Linked DNA regions of Rhinolophus ferrumequinum. The protein of the gene in region 2 purifies or fractionates together with the protein of the main gene of each other region. This does not show direct contact. Links are inferred from orthologs where the notes say so. Each region holds a gene or a part of one and is shown on either strand. Other genes may lie near its edges.

Region 1 (9,980 bases), on a different chromosome or scaffold from region 2:
GACAGTCACTAACCTCTGGGCCTGTTTCCTCACATATATGTGAGGTTTATGGTTAGGGCCAAAATACGAGCACGTATGAGAAGTGTTTTATAAGAGCAAAGCACTATTCAATTTGTGGGTGTCATGATTGTCTTGTGTTCTCTGCCCACAGGCTCTTGAAGGTCTTTTCCCTTTTAAAACATCTACATATTTACAGAAATCACTTGCTTTCACCCAGTAATTTAGCTGGTAAAAACAAGGCACCAATTTTTGAAACATTTAAAGCAAAACAAATTTCCCTTATTCAATGTCTTTCAAAACTTTGAAGGTGAAGTACGCGTCTCTAGTTTTGTTCCAGTTGCTTCTTGACCTGTCTTTTCTTCTGGGGGTTGAATTTCTTAAACTTAACAACCAAGTGTCTGACAATATAGGCTTAGTTCAAAACGACCGAGGTGAAAGGAAAGTTGAGACGTGGATACAGGAAATACCAACAAGCTTTGAAGTGAGAAAATTCACCTGTTCTCACCACGAAGGAGCCCAGGAACTGTTTCAGGAGGGGGTGGAGTGTATATTCAAACTCACACCTGTGTCACAACAGCTGCAGCTCCTGGATATTATAACTGGGTCGAGGGACCCCCCCCTAGCTATCGTATGAAAAAACACTGATTTCCCCCATTACTACCATTGAATCTGAGCCCCACCAACTGTAAGATGTAGTTATTTTATGTGCCACCAAATGAAAGCAAGAATGCAAATGGAACTGTCACAAAGTTAATTAAGATAAATCCTAATTTTAGCAGGTGTTCAAAGTTGCAGAATCGATCAAACGGGCAGGGAGTGTCGCCTGCTTAGTTCAGTGGTGATCACCAGAGCCACCCACGGTGTGCGCAGTGAGAAGAGCACACAGCAGGCACCCTGTGCCCGACCCCACAGACCTGGATGAGGAAATGACACGTGGGCCGGCCCGAGGAAAACCATGGACGGCGACAGCGACCATCCCATGACCACACACTCAGCACCAACGGTGCTGCACGCTGAGCTGCTGTGAGCAGCCGAAGGGTTTCTCATTCCTCCCCCCTCCTCCCCCACCCCCTGGCCTTCTTTCCCCCTCCCCCACCCCACTCTGGTTCAAGCCGTTGTTTCTCAGTCTGGTTGTGTAGGACACAGCTCCCTGGCCCGTGCTGGTTACGAGAGTTGCGCTCCCCCGGCTGAGGGGGTCGGTCGCTGGTCGGCCGTTCACGGCAGCTCACGGCAGCTCTCGCCGGCTGCCGGCTGCTCACACTGGCCACCGGCCGCTCCTGGCAGCACATGGCAGCCCACAGGCCCAGGTGGAAAGTGAACCGGCGATCTTGGTGTTAGGAGCATGGTGCTCCAACCACCTGAGCCACCGGGCAGGTCCTCTCATTTCTTTCTAACATCACAAAGCTGTCTGTGCTGCTGGAGGACGGCTATATGTATGTTAGAGTAAAACTTTAGATTTCCTAAGACAACATGCAAAAAGAAATTGAGGTTGTCAATGAGATTAAAATGTCAGGCCAAGTACTTCCAAACTTGTGTTTCTATTTTGATAGAGTACAGCTGTGGCAGAGATCATGTTAATTTTGTCCCATCATCACTGTCTATGACGTTTACTTTGCAGTTGCTTTTCTGAAGACTCACTATACTCTGTGCAATGAACAAGAGATTCAGATGAGTAACTGTGGGTGATTGGGGTGCTAAGCGGACAGGGCCCCTGGACATGACAGAAACGCAATGGCTGCAAGTGTTTGCATGAGCATTTCAGACCCTGGACCCGCTCAGCAAGGGGGTTTGAGCAACAGGCTGTCTGGCTGTCTCAGCTCCATATGTACTGCATCTGGCCTTCTGTTCTTGTAAATAGCCAGGCTCCCGTTTGCCTGGATGTGCTTCCACTTCCAGCTAAGAAAACAGACGGAAGCTAACAGTGTTTTGGGGAAAAGTGACACATTAACAGATAATTAGCAAGCAATGCAGCTAAGTGCTACAATAGACACAAACTGGATATTCCAGAATCCCAGGGGAGTGGGGGTGAGAGGACCGGGAAAGTGATGCTGAATATTGGGAGTGGGTCAGGGGTGGAAATCTTTTCAGCATGAACAGAAGCAAGGCAGACACGTGATAAACGGGGTATTGTACACTAGGACCCGGGAATGCTCTGCTGTCGATGGAACGTGAAGCTGGCACATAGAGGATGAGCTGGGAAGAGGCTAGGGGAACAGATGACCTGAGGACTAGGAATTCCAGGGAGGTGGAGACGCCAGGTCAGTAGCACGGCTGAGCTACAAGTAGCTAAGGTCAGGCTAGAAATTTAGGGTTAAGAACCTTTAGTGTGTCTGGGGTACCTGAAACCACGAGAGGAAATGAAGTCTGTCAGGGAGATCCCTAACAAAACCGAGGCCAGGAAACTTTGATCTTCATTCCGCTTACTAGCAGACTTCCCCTAAAATTGTATTTTCTTTTCCGAGTGGTCTTTTGTGATTGCTCTTCAAAATAAACTAACAATGTCAGTACTGCGGGGAGATGATACCCATTCTTTCAAGTAGGCTCTAAATGTGTTAGGAATTAAACCAAACGTTATCTTGGTGCAATAGAAAACACCTTGGGCGTGCATTAGGATCTGCAGAACATATTTTGCATCAGGCAAATGCAATCCTTCAATGGCACCCCACTGCAACGCCAGTGGGGGGAGGACCAGGCGGATGACTACATTTTGAACTTCACGTCCCTCCGCCCTCCCCGCCCCGACTTACTGCTCGTCCAGCCATGCCTCCCGCCTCAGTTCGAACCTGTCGGCCTCCCCGCAGAGAGGCCTTCCTGGACCAGCCGGCGCAGAGGAGCGCCCTCCTTCCCTGATCCCCATGTCCGTTACTACACTCCACAATCTCTGCTTTAGTGATCTCGCCGCGCCCTCCGCCCCAGCTTTACTAGCACGAATGCTTCGAGGGTAGGAACTCTGTCTTCTGTCCTGTAACTGCAGCCCCGAAAGGTGTTGTTCTAATGATGGCGTGAATCAATGAGGAGCACAGCATAAATCAGGCTGAGCCTAGTACGTAAAGTACAGGACCCGGGTGGGACAGACGGGGTCTATTCTGAGCTTTCCTCCCACTGTGACTTTCCGCAGACGACCTAACCCCTGTGGGCCTCAGTCCCTCCACCGTAAAACCAGACTAGACCCGGCGGGAAGCGGTCCCCACGGTGCGAACACACAGAAGCACGCGGCAGGGGCGCGACTCAGCGCCCGACGTTTTCCCTGCTCTACCGGCGGCTCGGCCCAGGCCCCGGCCTTCAGCCCCGACCCGGCCGCCACGCGGCGCGGCGAACCGCCGGGCGCCCACCTGTCTCCCTCTGCGTCTTCACGCTGATGTACTGGCGCAGCTTCTTCACAGCCCGGTCCCGGACGCCCTTCTCGTGCGATGCCAGCCGCTGAGCGAACTGGATCTCGGCGGGCTGCATGGCGGGGGCCCTCGCGCCCGCTGGAGCATCCCCGGCCGCAGCCCCCGGCACCTCTGCCTCGCGCCGCGGCGCTGCCCGGGCCACGACTGCGCACAAGGCGGCGGGGGCGGGGCGGCGCGGAGGCGGCGCGCGGGCTGATGGCGTCACAAAAGCGCCCCGCAGCCGCCGCTCGCGGCGCGTTCTGGGAGCGAGCGCCGCGGGCGCCCTGGCGGGGGCCCTGCAGCTCCGGGCCCCGTTGCGTCACGCCATCGCTCCGCTGTCTTTCGGTCACCGTCACCGAAAGTCAGTGCCGTTGACAGCGAGGTTAGCCAGGATCGGGTCTCGGCCAGAAGCAGTCGGACGGCCGATTGTAAATGGTCTAGAATCTTTAGGTACATTCACAAAACCCCCCATTTGGCCCGGCAGCCATCCCACGAAACACATGGCACCGAGTTTTTAATTGTACTCCCCACACCGCCTCGGCCGGTGGACACCGGGACGAAGGGTCGTCCTTCGGGTTCTTGGCGGGTGTTGGGGGCAGCCCCATTGAGAGGTCTCTAGGGCCAGCGGAGGCGGCACCCTCGAGGGTCCCCTAGTGTCTTGGTCCCGGTGCTGGGGTAGGTCCCGGGGCAGGGGCAGGGGCGGCGCAGGCGGGAGCCGGGGTTTGCAGCGTGTCAGCCCTCGGGCATGGAGAGCAAGCATCCTGGGAATCAGCAATGTCAGCTTCCTGCGGGGTTCAGAGACGGACCCCGATTATTAATCGTGCAATAATCGGTCCAAGTCAACCCACCGGCTGCACCGTATTTTGCGAACTCAGTGGGCAAGCGGATGGACTAGGCGATGTCGCCACGTTCACGGTGCTCACTTCAGTTCTAGGCAGCTGGTGGGACTGACGTTCCCTACGGGGGGCCGGGGCAGACTTCCCGAGGACCCCGTTGTCAGAATGCTGGGGCCCTCGCTCAAGGAGCTTGGAGCGAGCAGGGGAGCATGGCCGCGGGCCGAACGGGTGGTGGTTCCTCGACGGCTTCGCCCTTAACTCTAGCACCTCTCGCCAACCAGGGAAAGCCCGATTCTATTCATTTCATTTGACATTTACACCTGGGTCCCACTGTCTCTCTACTTTGCAGTTAACAAGTTGAAAGCCCCCGCTAAGCCAGAAGAGCTGACGCGGGTCGAGCGAGCCCACCCCTAGTTCGTGGGGCTGAGAGGGCGGCGCGCACGACGAGGTTTGAGCCTCGTGCCTCGCCGTACCCGACCCCAGGCCCATAGGGACGTAGTCTCGCGCTTCTTCCCGCGCTTTCTGCCGTGAGGGGGTCAGAGGGCGCGCGTGCTGCGCAGGCGCAAGCAGCCGGAGCCGAGGCTGGTGGCCATGGGCGAAGCCGGAGGCGCTGAGGAGGCCCGCCGGGTGAGTGAGCAGGCCGGCGTGTTCGCGCTGCCACCATTTGCTTTCTCGCGCCGCCCTGAGGCCCGTGTGGGCCTCGCCCAGTGCGCGCAGGACCAGCCCTGGGCCCGTCAGCAGACGGCGTGGCCGGGGCGACCTGCCTGCGAACCGGGTGCGGGTCCCGGAGGCCGCAGCCGGGGGCGGTGGGCGCTCGTGGGAGGGGACGGCGGTGCCGCTCTGCCTCCTACGCCTGGCGTCCCCGAGCCCGCGACGCTGTGATGCTCGTGTCCGGCTTACTGTCCGTAGGACGGTCAGGGCTGCGCCGTCGTCGCTTCCGCGGCACGTGGTGTAGGGGGAGGGGCCGGACCCGCGTTCGGAGCCTGTGGGGTCCCGCTTAGGGCGGCGCTTCGAGGAAGCCCCCCGCCTCCCTCTGCCTGCGGTCCTGGCGCGGCGGGGCAGGCTGGGCGCGTCCACGGGCGTTCGCTGACACTCCCCTTGCCTCCTGCTGAGCGCGGCGCCGAAACGCTCGGAGAAGGGCGCTGGCGTTTTGCTGGGCTTCTGGCGGCGGGCGTCGTGGGCACTGAAAACAGTGGCTCCCGTGGGGAAGGCGGGGCCTCTGGGCCAAGCCGGGCCACGGCCGCAGACGGCGCGCCGGGTAAAGCCGGGCTTCTGTTCTGCAACGACGGCCGGCCGACGGCTGCTGATGGCCGTTGTCTGCACAGAAACGTGATACTCCTACCATCTGCTTGTTCTTCCAGCACGTGGGGACCAAAGAAGAGTATGTGAGAGTCAGAAAGAAGGACCTGGAACGGCTGACGACGGAAGTGATGCAAATACGGGACTTCTTGCCCAGAATCCTGAACGGGGAGGTGTTGGAAAGCTTCCAGAAGTTAAAGGTTATAGAAAAAAGTGAGTTTTCCTTCGTCTCCAACGGCCCTTAATGCTGGGAGCGATCTGTCCCAGCAGGTTTACGTTCCGTGGATACCTGTGACGCAATTGTCAACAACCTGGAAGGAACAGTTACAGTCCTTAACTACGTTTGGGGGAATCACAAGAGACGGAGGAGCTCGCAGGAGTAGTTGGGGGACATGCAAGGTTTTGTTGGAGGGTTGCTAGCTTTCTGAAGTGTCCGTTACCACCTTCTCTTTCTGTCCACCTCTGTTCCTTGGCAGAACTTCCTCCTCTGGTGGTTGAAAGTTCTAAGAGGTTCTTACTGGTGTAGGTTAAGGACCTTGCCTTGTGGAAACCTTGCACAGACTTAAATGTGTCTGTAGCCGTGGCTGCATGTGGGTTGATTTGTCTCTGGGTTGATGGACGGGTCAGCCTCTGGCCCTGATTTGAGGTCAGCCTTGCCAGGACATGCCCAGTGCCCACTCAGACGGGAGATTGGAGCTGAGCTGTCATGTCACATATCAGTCTAGCAGCTGATGGAAGTGCTTGGCGGTGTTCCAGGATTGAGTCAGCAATTGCCTAATTGAGGCTGAATTACAATTAAATCAGTCTTCAACGTTCCAGGCTAATTCACCACAGTGCGTTGGACTGTTTGCCGTCCCCCTTAGGAAAGGTGCAGCTGGGGGGCCTGGGTTGTGTTTGGAGCACTAGTCCAGACAAGAAGGCATCTTCCCAGTACAAGTTTCTGCTTTGTGCAAATGCGTCTGCTCAAGGGGCAGCCATATCCAGTGAGGAGGGAGAATGCTCGTGGCCACCATAGCTCCCTGCCCTGTTTATCCTCTTTGGAATCCTCGGATCTGCTGTCCTCTGCTCTGGGAGGTGGACTCCCCCACACCGCTTGCACTGGCTCCCTTGCTGACTGCCAGGAGGGCTCACCAACGGAAAGCGTCAGTGGGTGGAGAGAGGTTGGGTGTTTCTTCCTGCTCCCTCTGCAGCTGTGACCCCCACCCAGGGGCCTCCCCCACCAGTCTCAGCTCTCATTGGGCTCCAGTAACACTGTTTTCTCCGCTCATTCCTTCAGCTGGAGGGCTGTTGCCTGTCACTCTGCTGGGTGGCTATGTTTCTCACTGCAGAGTAATAAACTGGCAGTCTGCAAAACACATCAGGGTCTCATGGATGATAAGCATGAGTCAGTCTTTGGAGGTCAGTCCTCTACCAAAGTCAAATTGTGCTTATAAAAGCAAGGGCCACAAACGAATCTGGGGGGACTTGGTCAAGGTTAGACTTCTGGAGATCTTGTCCCGCACTCCCTGGCCTTCCCCACGGATGTCTTGGGCCACTTCTCTGTCTCCTTTGCTTATCACCCTTCTGTGCAGCAGCCTGTTAGCCGGTGGAGACTCAGCCCTGGGCCCCCTTCTCCCCTTATCTGTGCACACACAGCATTAGTTACCATCTGGGTGCCAGTGGTTCCTGGATGTAGCTGTAGCTCAAACCTCTCCTCCAGGCTCAGAACCCTGACTGTAAGTCCTACTTGGCATTTCTCTCATGTGTTTCATAATCACTTCAAATTCTAATTGTCTCATCTTAGCCTAATCAGTCTATGACTATCAGGAAGGACCTAGAGTCTCACAAGGTCAGGTTTATGGCTCATGGCAGGGAGGGAGACCACCCACCAGAGGAACTGGGCATCTTGCCAACAGAGGAAAGGATGGAGCTGCTGTAGGATTTGGGGCAGGGTGGAGTCCAGCTGAAGTGCAGGGGAAGCTGTATTTCTGTGGCTCCAGGCAAAGGAGGGCTGCATCAGGGGTCAGCATCAGGTCTCCCTGCAGTGGACGCGGGTCCCGTTTCCTGGAAAACTACAAAATTGAGGTAGATGTGGAATTTAGTGCCTGCAAATCCTTCTTTGAGGTTCTGTGGCTCCTGGAAGCCACGCTGCTGCCCTGTGTCACAGTGCCTTTGGTCCCACAGGCGAGAGTAGGATGTGTCCTCTTCCTGGTGTAAGCAAAATTTCTGATAGTGGGGATTTTACAGACTAAGCTTTCTCTGAATAAGAAACCACTCATGAAAGGGGTCACGATGACGCTTACAGTGCAGTGTGTCCTTGGGAGAAATATTGTTTCCTGTTAACTTGGCAGTTGGCTTCATGTGTATCTGTTATCCCAGCCCGACAAACTACAGGACAGTTTCACTTTCTCAGAGCAAGCTGGTTTTTACTTTCTCGCGGTTGACTCATGACATCCGTCCCTCCACCCCACCGAAAACTGGCTGCCTGAGCCTCCCCAGGGCACCGACATTCAGATGAGGGGCCAGGATCCTCCTTGCTCCCCATCTCCTGCTCACCATTCAGCCCCCACCTGTCTATCAGAACATCCTAGAGGTTTCCCCTCACGGACACGTCCTGAGTCCGTCAGCCTGCCGCCATTGTCACTGCCACCACCCAAGTCCAGGCCCCTCTCATTTCGCCTGAATCTCTGCCCCTGGCACTGTCCACTTGTTGGCACTCTCCAGTCTGTTCTATACACTGTAGCCAAGTAATTTTTAACAATTCAGTCTGATTATTCATTCCCCGGCTTACGTCTTCAATGGCTTCTCTTTGCTGTTAGGGTAAAGACCAAAAACCAAAGAGAAAACCCACCAAAACCCACAATCACTCAAGAACCTAAACAGAACTGTGCCATGGCCTGAAAGGCTGTGTCATTGGGCTCAGCCTCAGGCCCAGTCTCACTTCCTTATTGGACAGCCTGGACACGTGTGTCCCTTTTGGGTGTTGTCAGAACGCCCTGCACGGTTACCTCAGACAAAATGGTTTATTCCCATCTTATGGTACAAGTATGTTCCCTGTGCAGGGCTGAATACTTGGTCCCAGGGGACCGCCACCCTTCTAAAGTGGTGTCCCCTGAAGCTGGATGTGCTACAGGAAACCGAGTGTTAAAGGAAGGATCCAAGTGGATTGCGGTGGCGGCAGGAGGTTTTACCGGGAACTTTGAACTTCAGCTGGCCGTTGGAGACGTCTGCCCTGGCCTAAGGCCTGACTAAGGCCTCTTCCCCGACCCACCTTCTGTTTTTAGTTTTGGTTGTTATGTAACAAAAAAAAGATAGAAGTTGCAGAGATAAGGAGTTGCAAAAGTAAAGATTTCTTAAACAGCTCTCTTTGCAACATCAGGATGCTTTTCATTTAAACTGATGTTGAAGCTTGAAATCAGAAGGGTGAGATATTTTTGTTTCACAATTAAATCACAAGGTCTAATCCTTGCCTTAATTGACAAGTGTTCATTTTGGAGAGAGAGGATGAAAAAGCCATTGCCTGTTTAAATCTCCATTGTCTTATAGAAAATACCTTTCAAATGTGTTATGTTGCATTTGAGATGTTAAATGGTGTAATTTAAAAACAACTTGAGGGCCTGCCCGGTGGCTCAAGTGGTTGGAGCGCTGTGCTCCTAACAGCGAGGTCGCTGGTTCGATTCCCACATGGTTGCTGTGAGCAGCCAGAGGTCGGCCATAAGCTTGCCAGTGGCCAATGTGAGTGGCCGGCAGCCAGCGTGAGCGGCCATAAGCTTGCAGTCTCATTTCTGACATTTAAAAAGCTGCAACATTGGTTTTAATGTGTTAAAATTTATTTGTTTATTTAGATGTATTTTAACGGTAATACTGTGAAGCACCCTTGTTTGTTTACTGAACATCAGCAGTGACTACAAACCAGCACAGGCATGATATCCTGGAGAGAGATTTGACTAACACACTTCCTTGAACGGTGGAAAAAAAAGTTGCTTTGTGTAATTTCAAATCGACAGCCCTCCCTGACCTCTGTCAGCATGGTCCAGTACAGCTTTCTGTGATGCGGAAGGTGGATAATCCCTGCTGTCCGCCTCTGGTGTAAAATAGCCACTACTATATGTGGCCAACTGACCCCCTCATTTAGCATTAATTAGTTTTGTAATGATTTTTCACTTGGTTGTTTTTTATTTTAGTTCCCTGATGAAATCCTCTTGTTGCCTATTTTCGGGAGCATATTATTTAGTTATTTTAAACTCTGAGTCTATAAATCCAATACCTGGATCACCCCTTGGCCTGCTTTTCTCATCCAATTCTCCTCTGGGTCATTCTGGTAATTTTTTGTTGGTTAATGGACTTTCTGAATGAAAACTTGTAGAGGCTCTGGATAAATAGTTTTCTCCGGCAAGGATTTCTTTCCTCTGGCTTCTACCTGCCTGTCAGGGTCGAGTCTGAGTAGATCACGTGGTCCGTCAGGGCTTGAGCTCATTCACGCTGGTTTCAGCCA
Region 2 (9,758 bases):
AATAAGGAACAAATAGTTATGATAAAGTGGTCAGTGCCATTATTTGATAGTAAAAAATCTGAATGCCCAACAGATTACGTGAATTTCTAAATATTTATGATTATGTAACCATGAAAAAGATTTAATATTTTTATTTAATAAGTATATGCAATTAAATATTTAATAAAAGTGGGAGAAATGCTTATATAAAAATGGGAAAGGCATGATACGAGATTGCACATAGTACAATCCTAACCTGATTTAAAGTAGTTGCATATATAAAAAGTACTATAAGGAAACATCAAAATTCAATGCAGAAATTCTAGGGAGTTTTTTGATACAATTCTGTATTTCCTAAATTCTCTATATCATATACTTTAATCATCGGAAAACAAATTTTAAATGCTGATCACGACCTATACCAAACACAAAATTGTTTATTAAAATTAGGGTTTTTCTTTGATGACTGAGTTTCTGAAAGGTAACAGAACTTCCAAATGCAGACATTTATTCATCTTGTTCAACTCAGATTAACGGCCTAAACAAAGAGATTAATGCAATCCAGCAAATAGCTTTCAGTGGTTCCACTTAATCGAGATTTATTTTGTGAAATCCTTCAGAGGGAAGCTAGGGTCTATTTGCATGACTATATCCCTCCTCTTGATTTTTGACATGCAAATACGCTGGTTGACATCTTGAGAGATTTCCCCCAAACTTAAACAGATATGTTTACTTGCAAAGGAGGCATTCTGACACTATGCTCAAAGGATCCCCCATGAAGTGCTGACATATCAAATTTCCTCCCTTTATTAAACAATATGTATCAATAACCTACCTATTTATCTGAAACAATAACAAAAAATACATTCTACATATTTAAATACAACTTCACCTGCTCTAACTCACTGTTACTTTCTTCACTGGTAGCTTCCTTGGAGTTGGAATCAGGTCCAGAATGAGAGATCCCATTCTTCAGTTTGGGGCTTTTCTCTCCAATTTCTCCATTCATTTCCTTTTCTTTCTTCATCTTCTTGGGCTTAGGCGCAGATATTTCTTCTTCAGAAGGCTCATCATTTTTTATTGCTTTTTTGGTTTTAGAAGCAACAACTTTCTTTTCAGTGGGCTCCTTTGGTTTTTTTACACGTTTGGTTTCAGAAGAAATAATGTCATCTTGAGATGGCTCCTCTTTCTTTTTTGCCTTTTTGGATTTAGGAGAAATCATGTCAACTTCAGAAGTCTCTGCTTTCTTTTTAACTTTTTTAGCTTTGGGGGAAACAACTTCTTCTTTTTCTTCTGCTGCCTCTTCAGATTTTGCCTTTTTTCTACCTTTCTAAAAAAAAAAAAAAAAATCAATAAAGAAAATACAAAAATTGAACAGAGAATCTGATTCATTTGTATTGTATAATACACCAATTCTAGATTATTACAAAATCACATAATTAAGAAGAACACAATTTGGGGTATTTTTCAACATCTGTACTTTTACCTTGCAACAAGGCAAAAATCAAACAGTATCCTTTTTAGTACTATTTCTTAGCTTTATGGAGGTAAGTACATATTAGTAATTTCATGAGCTTGGAAGAGAATGCTTCTTTGTAATTATTTAATTTATACTGGTCAAACAAATTGTAAAATCAAATTTTCACAAGGGATTTGGGGTGGCTCGTGGGATGCTCCAACAGGCTCTAAACTAAATACAGTTTAATTCTGATAGAGTAATAGGACATACATGTCCACGGATAAATAATATTAAGCAGACTTCTTTGCTAGAATTCCTGCACAGGTCAAACAAGAATTCATACCTGCCTTGCCTATCTCACAAGTGCAAATGATTTTACAGAGACACTTTTTGAACCAAAAAGCTGTAAAAACCCACAACCTATCACCCCACGTGTAAAAAAGATGTACCTAATTTAAAGAAGAAAAAAAGTGGGGCCAGCCAGTGGCTCAGGCGGTTAGAGCTTTATGTTCCTAACTCCAAAGGCTGCCAGTTCGATTCCCACATAGGCCAGTGGGCTCTCAACCACAAGGTTGCCAGTTCAATTCCTCGAGTCCTGCAAGGGATGGTGGGCTGCGCCCCCTGCAACTAGCAACAGCAACTGGACCTGGAGCGGAGCTGTGCCCTCCACAACTAAGATTGAAAGGACAACAACTTGACTTGGAAAAAAAAAAAGTCCTGGAAGTACACACTGTTCCCCAATAAAGTCCTGTTCCCCTTCCCCAATAAAATCTTAAAAAAAAAAAAAAAAAAAAAGAAGAAGAAAAGTTTCAAGGAAGTGCAATGAGTGAAACCTCAAAACCAAACCAGATTATGGCTCCTACCTGAAATGTCTGACCTATCCAACTTTTCATATTACTAAAAACTTTATTACTGAAAACAATTAGATGTTGTAGCCTGTTAAAACCTCTCTGGCAGAGCTACAGCACAATCCCGGAAGTAAAGACTACACTGAGCTGAAATCTGCCTCCCTGAAACTTCAGGCCTGGCCTCTGCTCTCAAATCATGGATGAGGGGTAATCTCTCCCACAAGATCTGTCCTTCAGACATCTGAAAAATAATCTGGTCCCCCATCCAAGACTTCAGTTCTCTCATCCCTTGGTTCCACCAAATTGGAGTCTTCTCCAATTTGAAGAGTCTTGGTCTCTTCTGGAACACAGTGGAGTTTGGTCATGTCCCTCCTAATCTGAGCGTCCCACAACTGAACACGTTCAATGATGCACAGCAGGTAAAGCAGGACCACCTCCTCACCATTTGTGAAGACAAGTCTGTGCTTCTTCGGCTTCTACACCACCAAAATATTGCTGTTGTAAAAACTCCCCATAAAAAAGACCCAGACACAACAAGGAAGGAAAATTCTAAATCGTATACAAGTGCAGGGACAATCTTTGTTCCCACTGACCTTACAGTTATATCACTATCTACAGAAGCAACAGCAAGGAGGCAGACAGCTATCAAGGTAATTTATGGCTACTGAATTCTGCTGGCCTATCTCAAAAATATAGTGTACAGTTAGCACCACAGGAGGCTTTACATTTCCACGGGTAATCTGGAGAATAAACATTAAGAGGAACCGAATTACTTCTTCTAAGGGTTGCTTACCGGAAAACAAACTGTACTTCACTTAATAGGGTAAAAAGAATGTCACTGCTGACGCCGCCCACGTGTACCTGTACAGGTGGGTTCAAGTCTCGCTGGTTTAGTCTAAAAGTCAGTCCCTACCTTGACTTACGATTCCCTCCGCGAACGCACTCGCCTGGAGTTAGGTCTGAGTCTGAGCCAAAACGTGGGGCCTAACCGTGAACTTACAACTCTGCGCACCGGGTGCAGGGCGCCCAGACTCCGGGACCACGTGGGACACCCGGCCATCCCTCCAGTTCCGATCGGTCCGGGCCTCTCGGCCAGAACTACCCGAGCGCGGCAGCGCGCCCATCGCCCGCGGAGACCACCACTCCTGGACGTTCCTTGTCCGAAACCCACGCGGGTCTCCGCACGAGGCCGGTCAGCGCCGCGCCCCCACGCGCTCCCAGCCGGGACACCCCTCCTCTTCGTACTCCGCGGCCCCGCTCCCCCCAGCGCCCCGGCCGCTCGTCCTGCCTTGCCCCAGGTCCCTCGGCCCTCGGTGGCACCTTCTCATTTTGCTTTCGAGGTATCTCCATTTTCCCCATGGCCGTGTCTGATTCCAAATCCGCGTCACTAAGGAGTTTCCCAGGCATCACTCTGCACAGACTGCGTAGAGCGACCAATTTCGTCCACCGCGTGGAGAGGAAGAGACTAAAGTAACCCTTGGGCCCACCCAGCTTTCGTCACTTCCTGTGACAAAAGCCTACGAAAGCCTTTCCCCCGGAAGCTGAAATCTCCACGAAGGCAGATCCCCACGTGGTAGTTCTTAAGCACTGGCTGCTCGCGCTGCTTGGGCGTAGTGAATTGACTGCTTACGGCGTCTAAACCAGAAGGTACTTATAGAAGGGTCGAACTAGAAGGAACCACCAAGGTTGGCTTTGTGTTATCGTTCAAACACTAGTCAGATTCTCGCTAGTCCGGGCCCGATAAATACAGACTTGTAGCAGCTTTTGAGTGGCTCCTGTTCGGTACTTTAGATATTGCTCGAGTTTGCAAATACTTGCGAGATGTGTATTCTTGATCCTTTAGTCAACACTGAAAGGAGGCGCCCAGACTTACAAGCCTGGTTTAGAACTAGAATTCAGTAGAGTGCGGTCGTTCATTCATGCACTCAACAAACATCCCCTAAGAATTCACCGTGTTACGTACAAGATATAGGGTGAGACTGGTAGGAAATAGACGAGTGTCACTTGTTCTGAAGGCAAATAGAGACACCTAAACCGGCCTTGGAACCAAAAGGGGTCCGCAAACCACGTAACCTCTATTAAAAAACACAAGGTCTCCTAGTCTTGAATAATTTGGAAAATAAAGCAGTTGACATAAAGTGGTGCATTGAACGATCTATGGTAATGGTGCTAAACTTCCTCTTAAGAACTAGTGACCAAAGAATTGGGAGCCAATTTATCATAAAATCATTTTTTAAAATGGGTTGAAATCACGCCTGGCTTTGAAAACTTGCCCTATTTACTGTGATTTTGGACGTTACTTAGTCTGAGCCTGAGTTTCTCATGCATAAAATGGGCATAACAAAACCTACTTCATCGGGTTGAGAAAATTAATGAATGAAAAGGATTTAGCAGCATAATAAATGTGAGCTATTAAAACTCAGGTGTTTCAAGGTGTTTAGAAAGACAATTCAAAATGTAATTATTTTATGACAGGAAAATGCTGGAAGTTTTGTTTCTGTATTTCATAAGATTAGTTTTTACTGCATTTTGTTTCACATAAATTATTTGATGTTTCAGAGTCTCAATTTTTTTTTTAACTTTTATTTAGTTAGGTGTGATTTTCCAGGACCCATTAGCTCCAAGTAGTTGTTTCAGTCTAGTTGTGGAGGGCGCAGCTCACCGTGGCCCATGTGGGGATCGAACCGTCAACCTTGCTGTTAAGAGCACTGTGCTCTATCCAACTGAGCTAACTGGCCACCCCGAGTCTCAATTTTTTAACAGATAAATTTAGGTAAATCTACAATAGTGCTTTTATACGTTGTGATAGCCTTAAGCCAGGAACCTTGATTTATCCATTTTTGTATCCTTAAGATTTCAGACAGTGCCTGGCAATGTGGGAGTGGAGATGGGGAGATGGAACCCTTGAAGTAGATTTTAACTATATACCCAGGTAGGAAAGCAATTCAGTCACCCTGGTATTAGATATGAGAGAAGGGGGGGAAACATGAATGCAGTCAACCAGCTGATTAACAAAATGCTTAACATCTAATTTAAGCATTGTACTGCAGACTTTGGAGTACATAAGTGAAGGACCAGTCCCTGCCTCAAGTTGATAAATGACAATCTGGTTGATAAAACCACAGAACTCCTTGATACTATGTGATACTGCTGTAAACAGTACAAGGACATTTTTATTACCAACAGATGTTGAGCAAGAGAGTAAGCCCAGAACACTACTAAATGGAAAACTGTTGTCAAGGCTTGTAAAGTATGTAAGTTCCTTTATAACATACCTGCACATAGGCACAAGGCCAAAATTCTAAGAGGAAACATGCAAAAGGCCGTTTCTGGCTCAGAGGTGACCATACTAATGGATTGAATCTAATCATCAGTGTAAAACTTAGTAATATGTAGAAGAAATGACTCTTATATACGTTTGATAGAAATGTGGAGTTCTGCTCGACATATAAACTATGCCAGACTAGTTTCCTCTGATGTAGATGTAATATATTTTCAAAAAATTGGGGGGGGGAGAATGTTTCACAAAGTATGTATACATACATGCACACAAACAATGAATTTAAAAGTTTACACAAGGGGCCGGCCCGGTGGCTCAGGCGGTTGGAGCTCCAGGCTCCTAACTCCGAAAGCTGCTGGTTCGATTCCCACATGGGCTAGTGGGCTCTCAACCACAAGGTTGCCAGTTCGACTTCTGCAAGGGATGGTGGGCTGCGCCCCCCGCAACTAGCAACGGCAACTGGACCTGGAGCTGAGCTGCGCCCTCCACAACTAAGACTGAAAGGATAACAACTTGAAGCTGAACGGCCCCCTCCACAACTAAGATTGAAAGGACAACAACTTGACTTGGGGAAAAAAAAAAGTCCTGGAAGTACACACTGTTCCCCAATAAAGTCTTTAAAAAAAAAAAAGTTTACACAACAAAATGTTTGCAGTCATTATCTGAGTGATGTGATTATGGGGGGTTTTATTTTTTTCCATATCTCTATTGTTTCAAATTTTCAACAATGGATATATAATACTAATATTTTTAAAAGTAATATGATTTTTAAATTATTAAGCACTACCCCCAAATATATGAAATAAAAATAATGTGAAAGGAGGCTCTCACACATTCACACCTAAATGTGAATTCGTTAGTCAGGAGTCTAATGCTGAAGGGAATAAAACAGATATTATTTACAAATTCAAAAACTGAAGTTCAGGACACCTGAAACTAATATAAAATACTGAATATCAACTGTAATTGAAAAATAAAAACACCCCCCCAAAAAAAAAAAACCCACAAAAAAACAACAAATTAAAAACCTGAAGATCAGGGCAATGGATTCAAGTGCAAATACATGTTAGGTGACCACACTAAGGCAATGTACCAAACTGGAGGCTCTAAACTGCCAAAAGGTGGCGCCATGAAGGTTCTGGCTCTATGAGGAAGAAGTCAAGATAAGTGGCAGAATGTAGCCCAAAGCTGAGAATTTGATAAGGAATTTTCCCTGCCCCGCTTCTTCTTCCAAGATATGGAAAGCAATTATTTAATCTTATTATCTGCTCCCCTTTCCTTGCTAATAGGGAAGCCAGCCTTTAGCAAGTGGACCCCTTAAATCCATGTCCACCCTGCTACATGCTTCTTTTTCACTCTTACCTAACGCTTCAGTGGCTATCCAAAACAAGGTCTATGCCGCCTTCCAAATAGGACTCTTGCCATGTTCTTACCACTGCTTTCCTCATAGTGAAGATCCCAGCAACAAGAGCTACTTATCATTCATCATACTTAGACCTGTATTTTCCCTGACGTATGAGTAATTCATGTGCAGTCATCATGTCCAGAATCTTTCTGTGAACCCTGGGCTAAGTGCCCTGTGCAGAGCTCTCAAATCGTTGCACTTAGTCATTGCCATGGACTAACTTTGGGTGTCCAACTATGTCACTAGATTCTGAGCTCCTGGGGGCAGAGACTGAGCACTCCTTACTTTTGTACCCCAAACACTGTAGATACACAACATATTCTGACTCATGCACCTAGAAATGTAGCCCCTATTTCATCTGGGGTATAAACCCAGCTCTCACAATTATTCAAATGCAGAGCCAACTGCGATTTTTGCCCCTCGTTATAGCTATCTGGAGCCCCGTTCCCCATGACCAAAACTTGCTCCTTTCTCTGTCAGCATTGAGTCCTTCCCCCCCTCCTTGGCTTAACTGAAATCTGGCTCTTCCGGAAAAATACTCCCCTGCAGCTTTCTCACGTTTCTCATTCCCTCACATTCCATGTACCCTGCCTGGTGTCAAGTGTCCTTTTCCGGTAAGCCATTTCTAAACTCCTTCATTTTCATGTAAATGCCCGTGTCCCTTTGAAGATATGGGGTATGATCACCCTATACTCCTCATTCAGGTAATTCACTAACCTCCACCATTCACTGATATTTGGGCCTCTGGCTTAGTCTTCCGCTCCCTCCTCACTCCTGGTTTGTCTTCACTCTAGATTTCATTGCCCATGAAAACCACACATATAACACGTGGCTTCTCAGTGCTTTGACCACCCCGACATAACCTTTGCCCCCAACAGGCCTACTACCACACCCTGCACCTGTCTTCCCAACTGCTCCACTCTTGAAATCTCAAATTCAGACATCCCTCACTGACCTTCAGCCCCCTGGCCCTTTTACACTCTCCCTGTAATCAACCCCACCTTCACTTCAATCGCTAGGCAGTCTACACAACAGGGACCATTACACTTAATCACTTTTGCTGCATCCTTAACATTTTCACCTTGTCATCCTTTCATCTCACAGAGCAAAACCCTAGTCCTGGATCAATCAACTGTCTCCCATCTCCATTCCTACAACAGAATGCTGAGTGTTGCTACAGGAAAACATTCAATCACTCCTGCTGCTGCCACTACAAATTCAGTTTCTAATCTATGCTGGACCCTCAAAGCTACCCTGATTGCCTAGTGAGTTCTTCACCTAGTCCTGCAGTTGATACCTCAGCATTTCTCCACTTGCCTCAAATCTCCTAGCCTACTACCTCCTCCCTTCCTGGCTCCTTCCTATATTAATATTACAACATACTGAAATTTCCCTCATCTCCTCCCACCCCCAACACACACACATACACACATAAAACTTTCAACTGTAATCTCATGTCCGTCCTACTCCCAGCTTTATCTTATTCTTCCCTATTTGGATTTACAGCCAAATTTCTGGAAGACATATTCGTGTTTGTTGTCCCTACTTCGTTTCCCATTTCCTGATGAATCCACTGCTAAGTGGCTTCTACTCTCAATACTATTAATATGGTTGCTCTTCATGTCAAATGTCTTTTTTTGCCAAGTCCAGTGGCCATTTCAGGCTTGTCTTCTAGTTCCTTTTGAAAGCCTCCTACTTCTGGGCTTTGTGCCCTCTTCTTATCCCTTCTCAGTGGGATCCTTTTCTCTGCTATTTAGTAAATACAATGGTATGCTTCTGAGCTCCCTTCTCAGTCTTCTTTTCTTACTATACTTTCCCTGGATAATCTCATCTACTACCTTAACAAAATTACCATTTTTTAATTATTCCCAAATTTTTAGAACAGATCCTTCTCCTGCTTCAGACTAACTACAACTGCCTACTGTTTATCTCCTTACATATCTCATGGGCTACTCAATATTAAAATACCGGGGGTGCCAAAAAATGTATACACGTGGACACTTTGGTCAACGTTGCTCAAGCAGTAGTTCGCTGTAATCAGACGTATCTGGACGCTAATGGGAACCACTTTGAGCACCTCTCGTAATTGCAGAAGTCAAACGTGACTTGTATTCATCTTTGGTTATCGGTATATATTGAGTATTACAATTTTAATAGTTCTTGCCTTTCTTAAAATGTGTATACATTTTTTTGGCACCCTCTGTATATCTAATCCTGAACTAATCATAGTCCCACTCTCTCCACATAGCTTTTCTTGCTTTGTCCTAGTAGGTTATCGTAGTGACAAAAATCTAGGTTTCATTATTCTGCCTCTTTCTCATGATCCAATTCAAAGCACTAGGTCCTAACAATTCTTCTATCTAAAAACCTCTGAAACCTATCCCTATTTCTCAACGTCCACTGCCACTATTTAGCACAGGGGTTAAGAGTGCTGCTTCAGAAGCCAGACTTATCTTGGCAGAAGTCCTCACTCCACAGTGTATTATCCAGTTGTGTGGTTCTGGACAAGCAACAGCCTCTGAAGTGCCTCAGTTCTCATCACTCAAAATATGTTACCTATCACTAGCCAGACCACCATCACCTCTACCTTAGATTACTCTGAAGATTGCTCTGACAGTATCTTAGGTCTACTGGCTTCCAGTCTGGCCCTTCTGCAATCTAGTCTCAGCGTAGCCAGCGATCTTTCTAAAACACAAATCTCATCATGTTAATCCTTAAATGGTTCCATGTTCAAAAGAATGTTTAAACTCCTTAACAGTACACACAGGCCTTTAAAATCTGGTTCCT

Evidence for each region. The genes of interacting proteins can lie anywhere in the genome.
Region 1: the proteins of DDX21 (region 2) and RRP1B purify together in Homo sapiens (affinity purification with mass spectrometry; 3 studies listed by BioGRID and IntAct, with this or other methods). This does not show direct contact. The link is inferred for Rhinolophus ferrumequinum from reciprocal best matches to the Homo sapiens genes DDX21 and RRP1B.

Annotation. Positions count from the first base shown.
Region 1 is NC_046285.1:107,111,124-107,121,103, reverse strand, and holds the start of RRP1B (ribosomal RNA processing protein 1 homolog B), read right to left. Parts: upstream 3,977-9,980; coding exon 3,903-3,976; intron 3,822-3,902; exon of another isoform or gene 3,642-3,821; intron 3,632-3,641; coding exon 3,333-3,631; intron 1-3,332. Other genes in the region: HSF2BP (heat shock factor 2-binding protein), read left to right, coding at 4,799-4,834, 5,569-5,719. UniProt on the Homo sapiens protein: Positively regulates DNA damage-induced apoptosis by acting as a transcriptional coactivator of proapoptotic target genes of the transcriptional activator E2F1.
Region 2 is NC_046299.1:47,390,291-47,400,048, reverse strand, and holds the start of DDX21 (nucleolar RNA helicase 2), read right to left. Parts: upstream 3,779-9,758; 5' UTR 3,694-3,778; coding exon 3,607-3,693; intron 1,310-3,606; coding exon 872-1,309; intron 1-871.